Linked DNA regions of Anolis sagrei. The protein of the gene in region 1 interacts with the protein of each later gene in a pairwise test. Links are inferred from orthologs where the notes say so. Each region holds a gene or a part of one and is shown in the gene's direction. Other genes may lie near its edges.

Region 1 (7,655 bases):
CTGTGACTTAGTCCTCTGTTTAAAAAGTTTGAGGACCCCTGCATTATACCATTAGCACAGTACAATATCAGTGCTATACATCACTATATTGTACTATACAATTATATTGTAATATTATTAGTAATAGCACATGTAATATAAAATATATAATTCTAATATCATATCATTATTATTAGTATTATACTGTATTACATTATAATATTATAAATATTATATGTATATACAATATATTATATCATATTATATTATATACTAGCTGTCCCCTGCCATGCGTTGCTGTGGCCCAGCCTGGTGATCTGGAAAATAAAGAAATGAGAAAGTGTTGGTTTCTAATATATGTAATTCCTTTATGCTTGTGAGTAAACAGTATTTCTTGTTGTTTCTTTGTCAGTGTTGATGTGGAGAGTGTCTGGTTTGCCTACTCTAGAATATGCAACATATCATAGTCCTTCTTTAAGGGTCTCTTTCAAATCTATGATACTATATCTGTGTGTGAGAGAGAGAATCATATCTATCTATCTATATTTATGACTGGATGGCTCTTTGTCAGGAGGACTCTGATTACATTTTCTTGCCCTGGTGAAGAGAGTTGGACTGGATGGCCTAAAGCAGTGGTTCTCAACCTGGGGTCCCCAGATGTTTTTGGCCTTCAATTCCCATAAATCCTAACAGCTGGTAAACTGGCTAGGATTTCTGGGGGTTGTAGGAAAAACATCTGGGGACCCCAGGTTGAGAACCACTGGCCTAAAGTATTTTCTGTTGGTCATGGGGGTTCTGTGTGGGAAGTTTGCCCCATTTCTGTCGTTTGTGGGTTCCAGAATGCTCTTTAATTGTAGTGAACTATAAATCCCAGTAACTACAAATCCCAAATGTCAAGGTCTATTTCCTCCAAACTCCATCTGTGTTCATATTTAGGCATATGGAATATTCGTGCCAAGTTTGGTCCAGATCCATCATTGTTTGAGTCCACAGTGCTCTCTGGATGTGGGTGAACTATAATTCCCAAACTAAAGGTCAATGCCCACCAAACCCTTCCAGTGTGTTCTGTTGGTCATGGAAGTCCTGTATGCCATGTTTGGTTGAATTCCATCATTGGTGGAGTTCAGAATGCTCTTTGATTGTAGGTAAACTATAAATCCCAGCAACAACAATTCCCAAATGACAAAATCATATATTTTTTTTAGTGGAGGACATAAATTGGACTGTTAGGTGTCTTGTGTCCAAATTTGATGTCAATTCCCCCAGTGGTTTTTGAGTTCTGATGGTAGCACGAACTAACATTACATTTTTATTTATATAGATTAGCATAGCACAGGAGACAAGGTGGAACTGTCCCCTGGCCTCCTCTGTCTTCACTCTGGCTCAGAGCAGTGGTTGATGCTGGGGGGAGGGGTCTCCAACTGATGACATATGCAGGAGACAAGATGGAACTGTCCCCTGGCCTCCTTTGTACTCACTCCTAGCGGCGGTTGGTGGGGGGGGGGGGGGGGAGAGGGGTCTCCAACTGATGACATATCCAGGAGACAAGAATACAAGGAATACCGGGAGTTGAAGGCTACATTTCAGAGGAAGCAGCAGATGATTCCATGCCTAAGAAAATGTGTCCAGAGGAGGGCGCCTAAAATGATCAAGGGTCTGGAGACTTGTTTTTCCAGTTTGAAGGCCACATTCCAGATACTGTGTTTTGGGTATGTTCAGTTGAAGTCAATATTCACTATCACTGAATGTCTGCTGCTGTCGTTGGAGGGCTGCACGCTTTTGGTGGCTGAGTGCTATGTTATCTGCATATAGGATTGTCTAGGGATGCATAGTCTGCAAATCTGCTGTAGCAGTATCAATGCAGAGTATGAATAGTAATGGTGAGAGTACTGATCCCTGATGCATGCTAACAGTGATGTTGAAGGGTGGTGAAATCTCCTCAGGACAGCGGACCATACTTGTATTATTGTATAGTAGCTTTATCCATGTTACATAGTCTTCTGGTATTCTTTGTGACTGTAGTGCTCGCCAGATACACACACATACACACCCCACTCCTCTGAGGATGATTGCCATAGATGCAGGTGAAAGGTCAGGAGATAATGCTTCTAGAACTTGGCCATATAGCTTATAGACCGAAAAACCGACAACAACCCAGTGATTCCAGCCATGAAAGCCTTCAACAATACTATATATATATATATATATATATATATATCTCCCTGTTGTTGTTTTTTTTCTTTTTGTCGTGTCAGGAGCGACTTAAGAAACTGCAAGTTGCTTCTGGTGTGAGAGAATTGGCCGCCTGCAAGGACGTTGCCCAGGGGATGCCAGGATGATTTGATGTTTTTATCATCCGTGTGGGAGGCTTCTCTCATCCGCCTCTCCCCTGTGATAACTTTCGTAAATAAAACAAAATCGTAAATAATATATATATTTATGTAATATTACTAATAATGTTACAATATAACGGTATAGTACAATATAGTAATATTTAATACTGATGTTTACTATGCTAATAATATAATATATTGTATGTATATATCTCTTGTAAGCTGCTCTGAATCCCCTTTGTAAAGAAATAAATTAAGTAAATATATCTTTCAAAAGAATTGCAAGATGAATGAGATGGATTGGGAAAAAAATCATAATCAAGGGACAGAAAAAAGAAAGATGCCACTCTATAAAAAGAGAGAAAGGTTAATAATACACACACACACAAATAATAATAAAAATGAAGAACTGCTATGAACAAGAATGGAAATCAAAATCACACTTTTTTTCTTTTTATTCTACCTTTAGATTTATATATATAATATTTTCTTTTCTCTCTCTTTTCTTCTTTTCTACTATCCTATCAGTGCATTGTTCCCCCACTTTCCATGTGAAAACACATACTTTCTATATTTTTTCTCTTTTTCTTTTTTCTTTTTACATTCAACTAGAAAAAAAAGTCAATATAATATTGCTGTTATTTATTGATTGTTTCAGAAGCAAATTGATAGCAACACATCCGGGCATCCCCTGGGCAATGTCTGATTCTCTCACACCAGAAGCAACTTCCACTATACTATTGCTGTTGAAATTATATCAAACTTCTATAATTGTGCTGTGTAGAATCGCACACAATCTCCAAGAACTTATACTAAAATATGTAAGTTAAAAGTAGCAGGAGGGGTTTTTCTTCTTCTTCTCCGCTTTCTCCACCCTTTCTTTTTGTTCGGCTCATCTACACTACCCTATAATACCACTTGCATTGAATTGCATTATATAAGTCTTCACTATTTATTTATCGTGTCATCAGCAACTATACCATTGTGTTACAATTCTAACAGAACAAAACAAACACACAGATTAAAAAGAAAAAAAACACACACAGATTTTGCAAACTTGGTAGTTGGTTAAATGTCCTTTGACCAGTATCTGGCCACTTGGAGTGCCTCTGGTGTTGCCACAAGAAGGTCCTCCATTGTGCACGTGGCAGGGCTCGGGGTGCATTGCAGCAGGTGGTCAGTGGTTTGTTCTTCTCCGCACTCGCATGCCGAGGATTCCACCCTGTAGCCCCATTTCTTAAGATTGGCTCTGCATCTTGTGGTGCCAGAGCACAGACTGTTCAGCGCCTTCCAAGTCGCCCAGTCTTCTGTGTGCTCAGGGGGGAGTCTCTCATCTGATATCACCCATGGATTGAGGTGCTGGGTTTGGGCCTGCCACTTTTGGACTCTCGCTTGCTGGGGTGTTCCAGCGAGTGTCTCTGTAGATCTAAGAAAACTATGTCTTGATTTAAGTCGTTGACGTGCTGGCTGATACCCAAACAGGGGATGAGCTGGAGATGTCTCTGCCTTGGTCCTTTCACTATTGGCTGCTACTTTCCGGCGGATGTCAGGTGGTGCAATACCGGCTAAGCAGTGTAATGTCTCCAGTGGTGTGGGGCGCAGACACCCTGTGATAATGCGGCATGTCTCATTAAGAGCCACATCCACTGTTTTAGTGTGATGTGATGTGTTCCACACTGGGCATGCATACTCAGCAGCAGAGTAGCAAAGTGCAAGGGCTACTTCACTTTGTCTGGTTGTGATCCCCAGGTTGTGCCAGTCAGCTTTCGTATGATGTTGTTTCTAGCGCCCACTTTTTGCTTGATGTTCAGGCAGTGCTTCTTGTAGGTCAGAGCACGGTCCAAAGTGACTCCCAGGTATTTGGGTGTGCTGCAATGCTCCAGTGGGATCCCTTCCCAGGTAATCCTCAGAGCTCGGGGTGCTTGTCTGTTCTTAAGGTGAAAGGCGCATGTCTGTGTTTTAGATGGGTTAGGGATCAGTTTAGATGGATTAGGGATCAGTTGGTTGGAAGAAGTCTTCACTGACTACATTACATGGCAGTGTAGATGGGGCCTGAGATACTCTGGAGCGTCTAATCGGGAATCGGAAGTGTAGGGGCGAGCAGTGTTGGTGAGGCATTTCCCTAAAGAGGAAGCTACATTGAAACAATTTGCCCTTTTCAATGCCTTGTATCTGCCATATTGGTTAAGGGCAGGAAAAAGACAGGAAGTTGGCGCCGCGCATGCGCAGTTGTGGGAATGTGGATGCCGGCGAAGGGGAAAATGGCGGTGGAAGGGCCCGAGCAGGTAAGGAGATCCTTAGAGCTGCTTAGTCATTCCTCATCTGGATGGTGGGAGAAGGGCATCAAATCATATTTGACTGTATTTGGTGGCTGGACTTTATTGTCTGGGGAAGGATGGATTGCTATAAAGCTTTCATTTAAAAACAGTAATGGTTTGGGTGATGACATGACTCAATGCCATTGATTCCTGGGCGTTATAGTTGATTGAGGAACCAGTGGAATGGACTAAAGACCTTGTAAAACTACAGCTCCCAAGGTTCCATAGCATTGAAGTGGTTAAAGTGGTGTCAAACTGGTAATTATGCAATATAGATGAGCCTGGGAAGCCTGTGTTCGAATCCCAGCAAGGAAATCCTTAGATGAGGCACACTCTCTCAGCCTCATAGAAAGGCCAAGACAAACCCATCTTTGGCTAATTCTCTCCAAGAAAGCCTCTTGAAAGCCAGCCCGGGTTGGAGTGGGTTTCCAACCAATTGTGTGTAGCCTGTTGTCGACCTTTGCAACCCGAAAGACAGTTGCATCTGTAGGAAAATTAGGTACCACCTTTAAAAAGTGTGGGGAGGCTAAATTAACTGATTTATGAGGCCATAAAGAAGACTCCAGCAAAAAGCATTCCAGCGGGGAAGCATGTGGGGAATGCGGAAGTGCTTCATCAGCGTTGCAGATGGACAATGAAAGCGACAGCTCCCCTGGCGGCCAGAAAAAAAAAGTTAAATAGCCTCTGTGTATGTCTGTATATGTTTGTATGTCAAAAATTGGCATAAGCCAGAAATGACTTGAAGGCACACAGTAAGACAAATAGAAAAGATGTGGGCTGCCAGGTCACTGGAAAAGGTCACTGTTCCAGTGTGCCTTCCCTGAATAAAGGAAACAATGCCCTGCTCTGACCAGTTCCCTGAAAATATCCTCAGAAGCACTTTAACTACCCATTGGGTTGATCTCCCTACATTATTCTTTAAAACCCTCCTGCTTAGATACATCCTGCCTCTGTTCGCGCCCAGTGTTTATTGTGAAATTTTAGTCTGTTACATCTGGCATGGACATAGGTTTTAAATTTTTGTGTGTTACTGCTTCTATGTGAGTTATATTAATTGTACTGTTTTATTTGCATGCTGCTTTGTTGTTTTACTGATGTGTTGTTGGGTTTGGCCTCATGTAAGTCGCCCCGAGTCCCCTTGGGGAGATGGTGGCAGGGTATTATTATTATTATTAACTTTATTTATACCCCGCCAAATCTCCCGAAGGACTCGATGCGGCTTACAAAGGCCAAGGCCGCCAACAACAACATACAAATATAACAGTAAAACTCATAAGCAAATAATAAAAATCAAGCAAAATCAATAAAACAATGACACCATGACGTATTTAAAACCTAAAAGCTGGGCCAAATGTAATGGACAAAATTTAAAAGTGCTGAACTTGACAGGTGATATGTAGAGGTTTTTTAGAGGTAGGTGCAATGTGCAGACAATCCTGGTCTCTAACAAATTGCATTTGGGACATGATGCTGGGAGTTTCCTAATCTGGAAAGGCACACTGGAACAGCCAGGTCTTCAGGCTCTTCCTAAAGATTACCAACATTGGGGCTTGTCTGATGTCCTTGGGGAGAGAGTTCCAGAGTCGGGGGGCCACCACAGAGAAGGCCCTGTCCTTCGTCCCCACCAAACGCGCTTGTGACGCAGGTGGGATTGTGAGCAGGGCCTCTCCAGATGATCGAAGGGAACGTGTGGGTTCATATATGGAGATGCGGTCACGCAGGTAGGCGGGTCCAAAACCGTTTAGGGCTTTGTAGGTGATCACCTGAACCTTGAATTGGGACCGGAAGATGAATGGCAGCCAGTGGAGCTCCTTAAACAGGAGGGTTGACCTCTCTCTGTAAGGAGCGCCAGTTAACAGCCTGGGTGTCGACCATTGGTATAAATAAAATTATTATTATTATTGTCGAAGGCTTTCATGGCCGGAATCACTCAGTTCTTGTGGGGTTTTTCGGGCTATATGGCGTTTTTTTTTGGCCATATAGCCCGAAAAACCCCACAAGAACTGAGTATTATTATTATTATTATTATTATTATTTCTTCTTCTTCTTTTTCTTATTATTATTATTACCACTGTCAGATCGCCCTCATCTTATGGGAACTCTGTGAAAAAGAGACCGTTCAAGTTACCATATCCTCGGGTCTTGCAAACTCAGGGCCTCGAGTTTCATGATTGAGTCCTTCCATCTATAACAGTGGTTCTCAACCTGTCAGTCCAGAGATGTTTTGGCCTTCAACTCCCAGAAATCCTATCAGCTGGTAAACTGGCAGGGATTTCTGGGAGTTGTAGGCCAAAACACCTGGGGACCAGTTGAGAATCACTGATCTAGAATGTGGTCTTTGGCCCCTTCCACACAGCTGAATAAAATCCCACAATTTTCTGCTTTGAACAGGAATATATGGCAGTGTGGGCACAGATAACCCAGTCCAAAGCAGATATTGTGGAGTTTTTCTGCCTTGATATTCTGGGATATCGGGCTGTGTGGAAGAGCCCTTCCACTTTTCCTACTGCCTTCACTTTATTACAGACAGTCCCCGAGTTACAAATGACTCATGGTTAAGAACAGGGGTGAGACAACTGGAAATGGGAGAAATCTACCTTTCTGGAGGGAAATTCACTCTTGGAAGTGTGATCTTGGGGAAAAGGGGTTTCCACCGCAGTTTTATCGCCAATCGTTGTTTCTACAACAATACAGTTTTTTCATACTCGATGTTTAAGCTATTTGGGCAGAAATGGAAATGAACAGAACTGTATATTTTAGCCAATGGTAAATTTGTGTGAAGTCCAAAGGAGTGGATTATTGGCAGTATAGGATAGTATAGGATAGAAATATCACAGGTACAGAAAGTGAGGTGAAACCTTTTGAACATGGAAACAGACAACAAAGCAAACTCCATAGGGGTGTTAATCCTGACCTACTCTATCCAAAGCAGGCATACACTTAAAAAATTACCTGTTCCAACTTACATACAAATTCAACTTAAGAACAAACCTACAGAACCTATCTTGTTTTTAGCTTGGGAACT
Region 2 (7,786 bases), on another chromosome or scaffold:
ACAGGTGTTGGTCCCAAGCATTTAACAACCTCATCACAAAGGGCACTCTTTGGCGACATGCACCGGCTCCGCCCTATTTCACCCATGGAGCCCACCAGCCCCCATCAAATTATGCTGGCAGGGCTCTGTGGGGGAAGTTGAATTGAGTTTGAGCATGTTTATGCGCTTCAAGTGAATTCAGTCTAGTCCGACAATAAGACTACATTTTAGTTTTCTTTTCAGAGATGCTTGCTGTAAAATTTAAGAGAGGTGAATATGTTAGTGAAGTACTATAACCAATTCTGCCAAGAACTGTAATTTGCAGTATTTGTCTGAATTACAATTTTAGCTGTGGCATTTAGTGCTGGAATACTCCCAAAGAGTTCTGGCCAGTTTAGAGGAAAATGTGGTTATTTCAAAGCACAGGAAATGAAACAAAATTCTTCTTCTGCTGGCACCTGCTTAAAGCAATGGATACAAGTATTTCCATTATGCAGATAGTCTCCATGTTGAAGGATCCAAACAGGGAAAAAAGAGAGGGGGGTTGAGAAAGAAGTAGTTCATCACTTACATGACTGAATATATAGTAATTCAAATCAAGACTATTAAGAGTTAAGTACACTAACCTCTGGTTCTGGATTAACTAATCTGTCCATCTCCCATATTCAATTGGTTTTAATCTCATATTCTGTTCAGCTGAAATATGAAGAAACATGTATTTTGATAAATTTTTATCCACAAGAAATAGAAATGGCAATATCACTCAATCCTTGAATGCAGATTCTCAAAGGCTGAGAGCATCACCTGCAGGCAGACAAACAAGGAAGCAGCCACTCTAGAAGATACCATAATACAGGGGTCCTCAAACTTTTTAAACAGAGGGCCAGGCCACAGACCCTCAAACTGTTGGATGGCCGGATTATAATTTGAAGAAAAAAAAGAATGAATTCCAATGCACACCGCACATATCTTATTTGTAGTGCAAAAAACACACAAAAACAATACAATAATTAAAATGAAGAGCATTTTTAACAAATATAAACTTATTAGTATTGCAGTGGGAATTGTGGGCCTGGTTTTGGCTGATGAGATAGGATTGTTGTTGTTGTTGTGTGCTTTCAAGTCGTTTCAGACTTAGGTTGACCCTGAGCGCGGGCCGAGTAAATGACCTTGGAGGGCCGTATCCGGCCCCTGGGCCATAGTTTGAGGACCCCTGCCATAACATTATAGGTAACAAAATTTGGTGGGTGGGGGGTTCCTGGTTTGAAAGTGTTATTCTTGTTTAATTGTACAGTACTTACTTTGAAAGTAGTGATATATTACAGAAACCTTGTTTTTGTGGCTGCCACAAAATGTGTTGAATTGGTTGAGGCTTTATGAGACATTCATAGAGCCTCAAGGTTGAGAAACGCTGATCTAGACAGAAAAAAAAGAAAACTGATGACAATCCACTATTTATTACACCCGCATAGTGATGTCAACAGACTTTACCTGCCCAGAAAATCAGAAGTGAAACAAACGGCAGAAGAAGAGAAACATGCACTGGCAGCTTATGTAAAAGGCAGTCAAGAACCAACATTGAGGGAAGTCAATAGTAGTAAACTGCTTAAAGTGCAAAAGACAAAGAGTGAATACCATAAAAACACAATCCAGAGCGGAAGAGAAAAATGGCAAAAGAAGGCTCTCCATGGACAGTTCCTGGGAAAAATTGAGAGTCAAATTGACAAAAAAATAACATGGATCCTTGCCCCTCCCGGTTGGTTAAGGAGTGCTGGAAGGGACTACGAGATCCCTTAAGGAGCATCATCAATAGTTCCTTGGAGCAACGAATTTTTACAGATTGCCTTAAAGAAGCAGTGGTCCACCCTCTCTTGAAAAAAACCAAGCCTAGACGCCGCCATACCTAGTAACTATCGTCCAGTTTCAAACATTCCATTTTTGGGCAAGTTGATTGAACGGACACTGACGGGGCAACTACAGCAATTCTTGATGAGACTGCAGGTTTGGACCCCTTTCAATCAGGCTTTCGTTCAAGTCATGGGACAGAGACTGTATTGGTAGTTATTCCTGACGAAATTTGTCGTCAGTTAGATCGAGGCAGATCAACACTATTGGTACTTTTGGACCTCACAGCTGCATTCGACACCGTGGACCATGACTTGCTGATTCATCGATTGGCTATGTCTGGTGTACAAAGTTTAGCCCTGAAATGGTTCAATTCATTCCTCCGGGACCGGAGACAGAGGGTGGAGTGGTTAGGCCAAAGCTCGGAGAGCTCCTGCCTTTGCGGTGGAGTTCCCCAGGGTGCTATCCTTTCACCCCTGTTATTTAACATCTACGTCCGGCCACTTGCTGGACTGGTGCGGAGCTTTGGCACAGAGTGCTACCAGTATGCAGATGATACCCAGCTACTCTTGCGTCTCGAACCTGGGACAACCGTGATTCCTGAGAACTTTAGGCTGTGTTTGGAAGCAGTGATGAGTTGGCTGCGAGCGAACAGACTAAAAGTGAATCCTGCTAAAACTGAGATACTCTGGCCTGGCCAGCCGCCAGAATTAATCCAGTCTCTGCCTGATTTCGATGGGGAAGCTCTGGTTCCGTCTGCCACTGTTAAAAGCCTTGGGGTTGTTTTGGACTCATCGCTGACGATGCAGGCCCAGATCACTGCCATAAGTAAGCAGGCCCTTTTTCATCTTCGCCAGGCAAGGAAATTGGCATCCTACCTTTCGGTAGAAGCATTGGCGACAGTAATCCATGTAACAATCACCACGAGGTTGCGTTGTGCCTTATATGCCGGCCTTCTGAAGTCAACAACCCAGAAGATTCGGATGGTCCAAAATACAGCAGCCAGGCTGCTAGCGGGATCATCTATAAGATCCCATATTACATATTGGCACATTCCCAACTGTAGCAAAAGAAATTTAGCTATTCACTAGTGTTGTTTATATATTCTATACCATGATTCCCTTTGGACACTATACTACCCTAGAATGAGTTGGATCCAGATAAAATTATATTTAATGCAGACCGCTTGAAATAAATGGGGTTTAAATGAGTCAGGACTAAATTAAATCTAATTGATCTCAGTGGGTCTGTTTAGTTACCAATGTTATTCAAATGTTTCTTGATTAAATACGATGTCTCTGAAAGTTGAATTAAGACCTTAGAATAGCAAAACAACTCACGAGGAAGAATGCCATGAAGTTAACAACATGGCTGATATGTTTTTATCCTACACAGAGACCAGGTTACTGAGAAACTGCCAACAGTAAAATGTTCAAAATCAAAGCAACATTCCACCAAAAGGAGTAAAGTTGTCATGGATTGTAGGTTGCTGCCAAGGTGGGCACATTTTGCACAAAAGTATATTTTAAATTGGACTTTTAACTGACATAACACAGGATTATTTCAAAACAATTTTTTTTCTGAAACCAACCTTATAAAACATAAGCACTTGATCCCACAACAGGCTATACAACTTACTGAAAGGCCCCGGTCTAATGAAGTATTGTGGGGACTGACATCTGGGGTCACGTTCCACAACACTGGGGGTAAGTTCTCACAACCATCCCGCTTCTTCAGGCTTAAAAAAGCCCAGAGGAGCAGGATGGTGCCCACTACAGTCCTCCTGGTGTGAGAAAATGGAACATTTGGATGCATTATTTTCTCATGCCAGGAGAACTGTAGGGAGAGGCCTATGCTGCCAGCAGGCCTCTCTGCCAAGTTTGGAGACCTGAATGGGGTGATGAAGGGGTGGCCTCATGTTATCCTGATTTTACTCCTGATTTGACTCTGCTCCGAAAACTCCGAAAGATTTGGGTTGGGGGTGGGGACTAGAACCTGTGCAGAAGTGGGTTACTTTAAAGTTACTCTTTAAAATGTACCTGATCTAATATGCAAATTCAATTTGAGAACAAACCTTAAAAAACCTAACTTGTTTGTAACTTGGAGACTGCCTGTAGATATATACCTGGCTGGAGTTACTCTAAAATGCACCTGTGCCAACTTACATGCAAATTCAACTTAAAACAAGTCTACAGAACCTATCTTGTTTGTAATGCAGGGACTGCCTCTGTATGCTTAATTCCTACTTTAGTGCATTCATACTTTCAGATGTAACAGTGATGGTGTTTCATGTTCTGCTAATTATCTATCTACCTCTATTGAAAACGTCAAGGTGCCATCAGGTATCAATGCATGGCCGGTTTGGAGTTTTCTTCTGTCTTCTTTCCCAATAACATATATGTATTAAATCCTTTAAACCTCTGGGAAACCTAGCATTTCATTGGCCTGGGCTAATTAACAAAATGGCTAATTCCTTTATGGTAATCCTCTTACATGCCCAGAGCTATTTCTGTCAGGGTCATCATGATCCCAAGACCTAAATCTCTATCCAGATTTATCTATCCTCAAATGTACATCAGCCAAGGACTCACATTTGCTCGAGCTTTACCCAATCAAGGACATTGTTGGTTACTCTGGGAAAAGTGGAGTGCCCAGGAAGCTAAGTATCTGAATTTTCACAAGGTAACTTTCTCTCTTTTTTGCTTGCTTCTTTATTTATTTCTAGTGATATCAATCAATTTGCAAAATGCTATATAATTTCAGAAGGAAAAAAATGATTTTGTCCTATCCTTAAAATCATCTTTCCCCCCTGTAGCTTGGAGCAATGTATGTTTTGCTGTTTTTTATTGTGTTTATCTCAGTAAAATGATGGCTCTAAAACTCATTCACATAAAGCAATTTAGCTACCACCTCACAGAAACAGATGATGCTTATGATTTGTTCAAAATTGAATTCCATGACAGTAACTTCTCACAAACTACATTATTTAATAGATGCATTTAGGATGTCAAGATTGACAAGTTAACTGGCAGTGCAATCCAATGGGGATCAAATTAGCAGTGTTGTGGTGACAGGAGCCTTACTTTTATGTCTTGTTGCACTGGATTTCTCCCACTTTCTTGCATGCTTTCTAAAAGCAGTGTCAGTTGGAGCTGGTATATATATATATATATATATATATATATATATATATATTTGTGTTCACCACTTTGTCCTCTGTTGCGCTAGCAAACAGAGCTTGCAAGCAAAGCTTCCTGAAAGTGGAAACATACCTAGACTTTCTTCTTTACATTAGTTTTCCCTCTCTCTTTTACTACAGAGTATTATTTGGGTGCTCATTTATTAAGGACTTAAAACTCACCTACTTGACAGAAAATCACACTGTTCTAAAATTATATTAATGGTTGGTGTCTTTGCCAATTAAATAATATTTAATTTAATAGTCTCGCTGATAGTTTGACAGTAAACTATATTCTGTTTCCAACTTGAAGAATCATTAATGGCAATTTCATGTGTTTGCTCAGGCATATACTTTCTTGGGTTCCACAGGACTTACTCCAAGTAGGCTTGGGCGGTTTCATTCGTTAATTTCGTAATTCGTTATTAATTCGTATTTAAATTAGCTTACGATCCAATATTGAGCCATGCAGGAATAGTGTGAGGAGTAAATTAGATTCGAAACAATTTTTTCAATTTATTTCGTAATTATTTTGTAATTATTTCATAATTATTTTGTAATTATTTCATAATTATTTTGTAATTATTTCATAATTATTTTGTAATTATTTTGTAATTATTTCATAATTATTTCATAATTATTTCATAATTATTTTCGCATGTCTGGTGCAAGTTTTATAGTTGTTGTTTGTTTTATCACACCAACAGTCAACAACAGAGGAAGAGGGAAGCTTCAGAAGTTCCCCCTGTCCCATTTGGAGGTTTTTTTTAGCATATTGCGCAATCACGTCCGCCATTAACGAATCGATTCGTAATTTTATGAAATTTCGTATATTTCAAAAATTTTAAAAGGAAAATTTCGGAATTATTAAAAAAAACGAAACGCAAGGGCCCCCTAAAAACAAAACGAGTTTAGAACCAAATTTTTCCGTGGTTACCCAAGCCTAACTCCAAGATGTTACAACTTAAATTTAAGATTGTATCATAACTAGTCTGTGATTTAGGTAGTGAGGGATCTTATCTTACACAATGGGATAAAAAGCCTAACCCGCCAGTTTGGACCATGAACCACCAATGGATTGTACCTTTGCCCATTAATCAAAGTCATAAACCCTGCCCAAATTTACTCCCGAGCAAGGATGTGAATTTTCATAGGCTTCATTTTTGCAGACAAGAAGGGTGAATTCCAATAGAGAACATTTTTCACACAAACCTGAAAAATTTGGTACAGTTCTCAGTTACTATCTTCATTTCAGTATTTGTGCAGGAAATATATTTCCTGTGCAGAAAATGTGTTACTTGTGCAGAAACAATTTTTTTGTTTCCTCTTCAAGAAACATGTTTTCCATACAGGAAAAAAAATCAGAGAAAATTATGTGCAGATAAATATTTGCTAAAGGGCAAAAATTCTCATGGCTGACTTGCCGTATACTGTTCCTCTCAACAGGATTTCACAACCATTGGAAACCTCGTTCTTACTTAGGAAATAAGTAATAATGAATATTTTTCCTTCCCTGCTTCTAAATCACAAAATTCTGTCTCAGCTTTTCCTTTTTTCTTGTCATTTCCCATCTTCATGCTGTTCTAAGTAGTCTCAACTAGTTAATGTTGCAATGATTAATGTAAAAAGCTATTGGGGTTTGTACAGATTTCCATACCCTCCAGCCGTGCCAGTTTGATTTTGTAAATTGGGAGAATCAGTATGTCTTTATTTGATTTTATTTGTAAAAGTCTGATTTGCTGTGGCCTAGTTTATATCTGTTGTGCAAGGACAGCTACATTAGTTTGAATGTTACAAAATCATAAGCAGCAGCTCTGAACAGAAGCATATCATCCTCCGTGGTAATTAAAATGACCTCTAGTTGAGTCAAAGAGAGATTACTTCTTTTTGATCATCTTGGCTTCCATCTCAAGTTTTGATATTGGTAAATTTTTGATATTTGTAACTAAAATCCAAATAAAACAGAAACATGTTATAGATATTTATTTGTGAATTTATTGTGATATTTATTTGTGATATTTATTTGTGCTACCAAATTGTGTTTAGGTGGATTCAAAATAGTTGGTGGAGGCAACAAGTATAGAGGATCTTATGGGGCTCTGCTCCTACTTGAGAGGAGGAAACAATCCTGCATATTATGTTTGATATTAGAGCACATTGCAGAAGAAATTGATGGAAGTCTTGATGCTGTCCAGGAGATCCTTAAAATTTGATGAAACACTAACTTTCACCAAAGCTGCAAAGGATGAATAAATACCAGAAACTATTATTGCTTGCTGGAAGAATTTATGGAGTGATGCTATGGACAATTTACATATCCCCCCCCCCCCCCCACACACACACACATACTGTAGTGGTCAATGGAAAATTTAGGATAATAATTGATGCATCAAAAAACTTGATAGAAGAGAATTTTAAACACCTTGGTAAATGTCCACATGACTTGTTCTGCTTCCATTTTTGGAATGTGATCCTTGGATTGGACACAGCATTAAATTCACTTATATGATTGCTTTAGGGTTATAACTTCTGCAGCAAAGTTCTGATGAATTGAAAAAAAGAAACAACAACTTCCTGTTATGATGTTCTTCCAAAAGTCTTAGCATTTGAGGATCACCAAACATCAGCATTGTCTTCTCTGATATTGGCATCCTACCATCTATATCATCTACTCCTGATATCAACATCCTACTATCGACAGTGTGTGCTTCCAATAGTAACTTTAAACTATCATAATTGTCCTGGTGCTATGTTTTGACACACTCCATATTTTACCACATACCT

What was found. The genes of interacting proteins can lie anywhere in the genome.
Region 2: the proteins of PSMC5 (region 1) and PDC interact in a two-hybrid assay, tested with the Homo sapiens proteins (2 studies listed by BioGRID). The link is inferred for Anolis sagrei from reciprocal best matches to the Homo sapiens genes PSMC5 and PDC.

Annotation. Positions count from the first base shown.
Region 1 is NC_090026.1:37,887,396-37,895,050, forward strand, and holds the start of PSMC5 (26S proteasome regulatory subunit 8), read left to right. Parts: upstream 1-4,508; 5' UTR 4,509-4,549; coding exon 4,550-4,597; intron 4,598-7,655.
Region 2 is NC_090024.1:120,521,079-120,528,864, forward strand, and holds the start of PDC (phosducin), read left to right. Parts: upstream 1-4,367; 5' UTR 4,368-4,392; coding exon 4,393-4,506; intron 4,507-7,786. UniProt on the Homo sapiens protein: May participate in the regulation of visual phototransduction or in the integration of photoreceptor metabolism. Inhibits the transcriptional activation activity of the cone-rod homeobox CRX.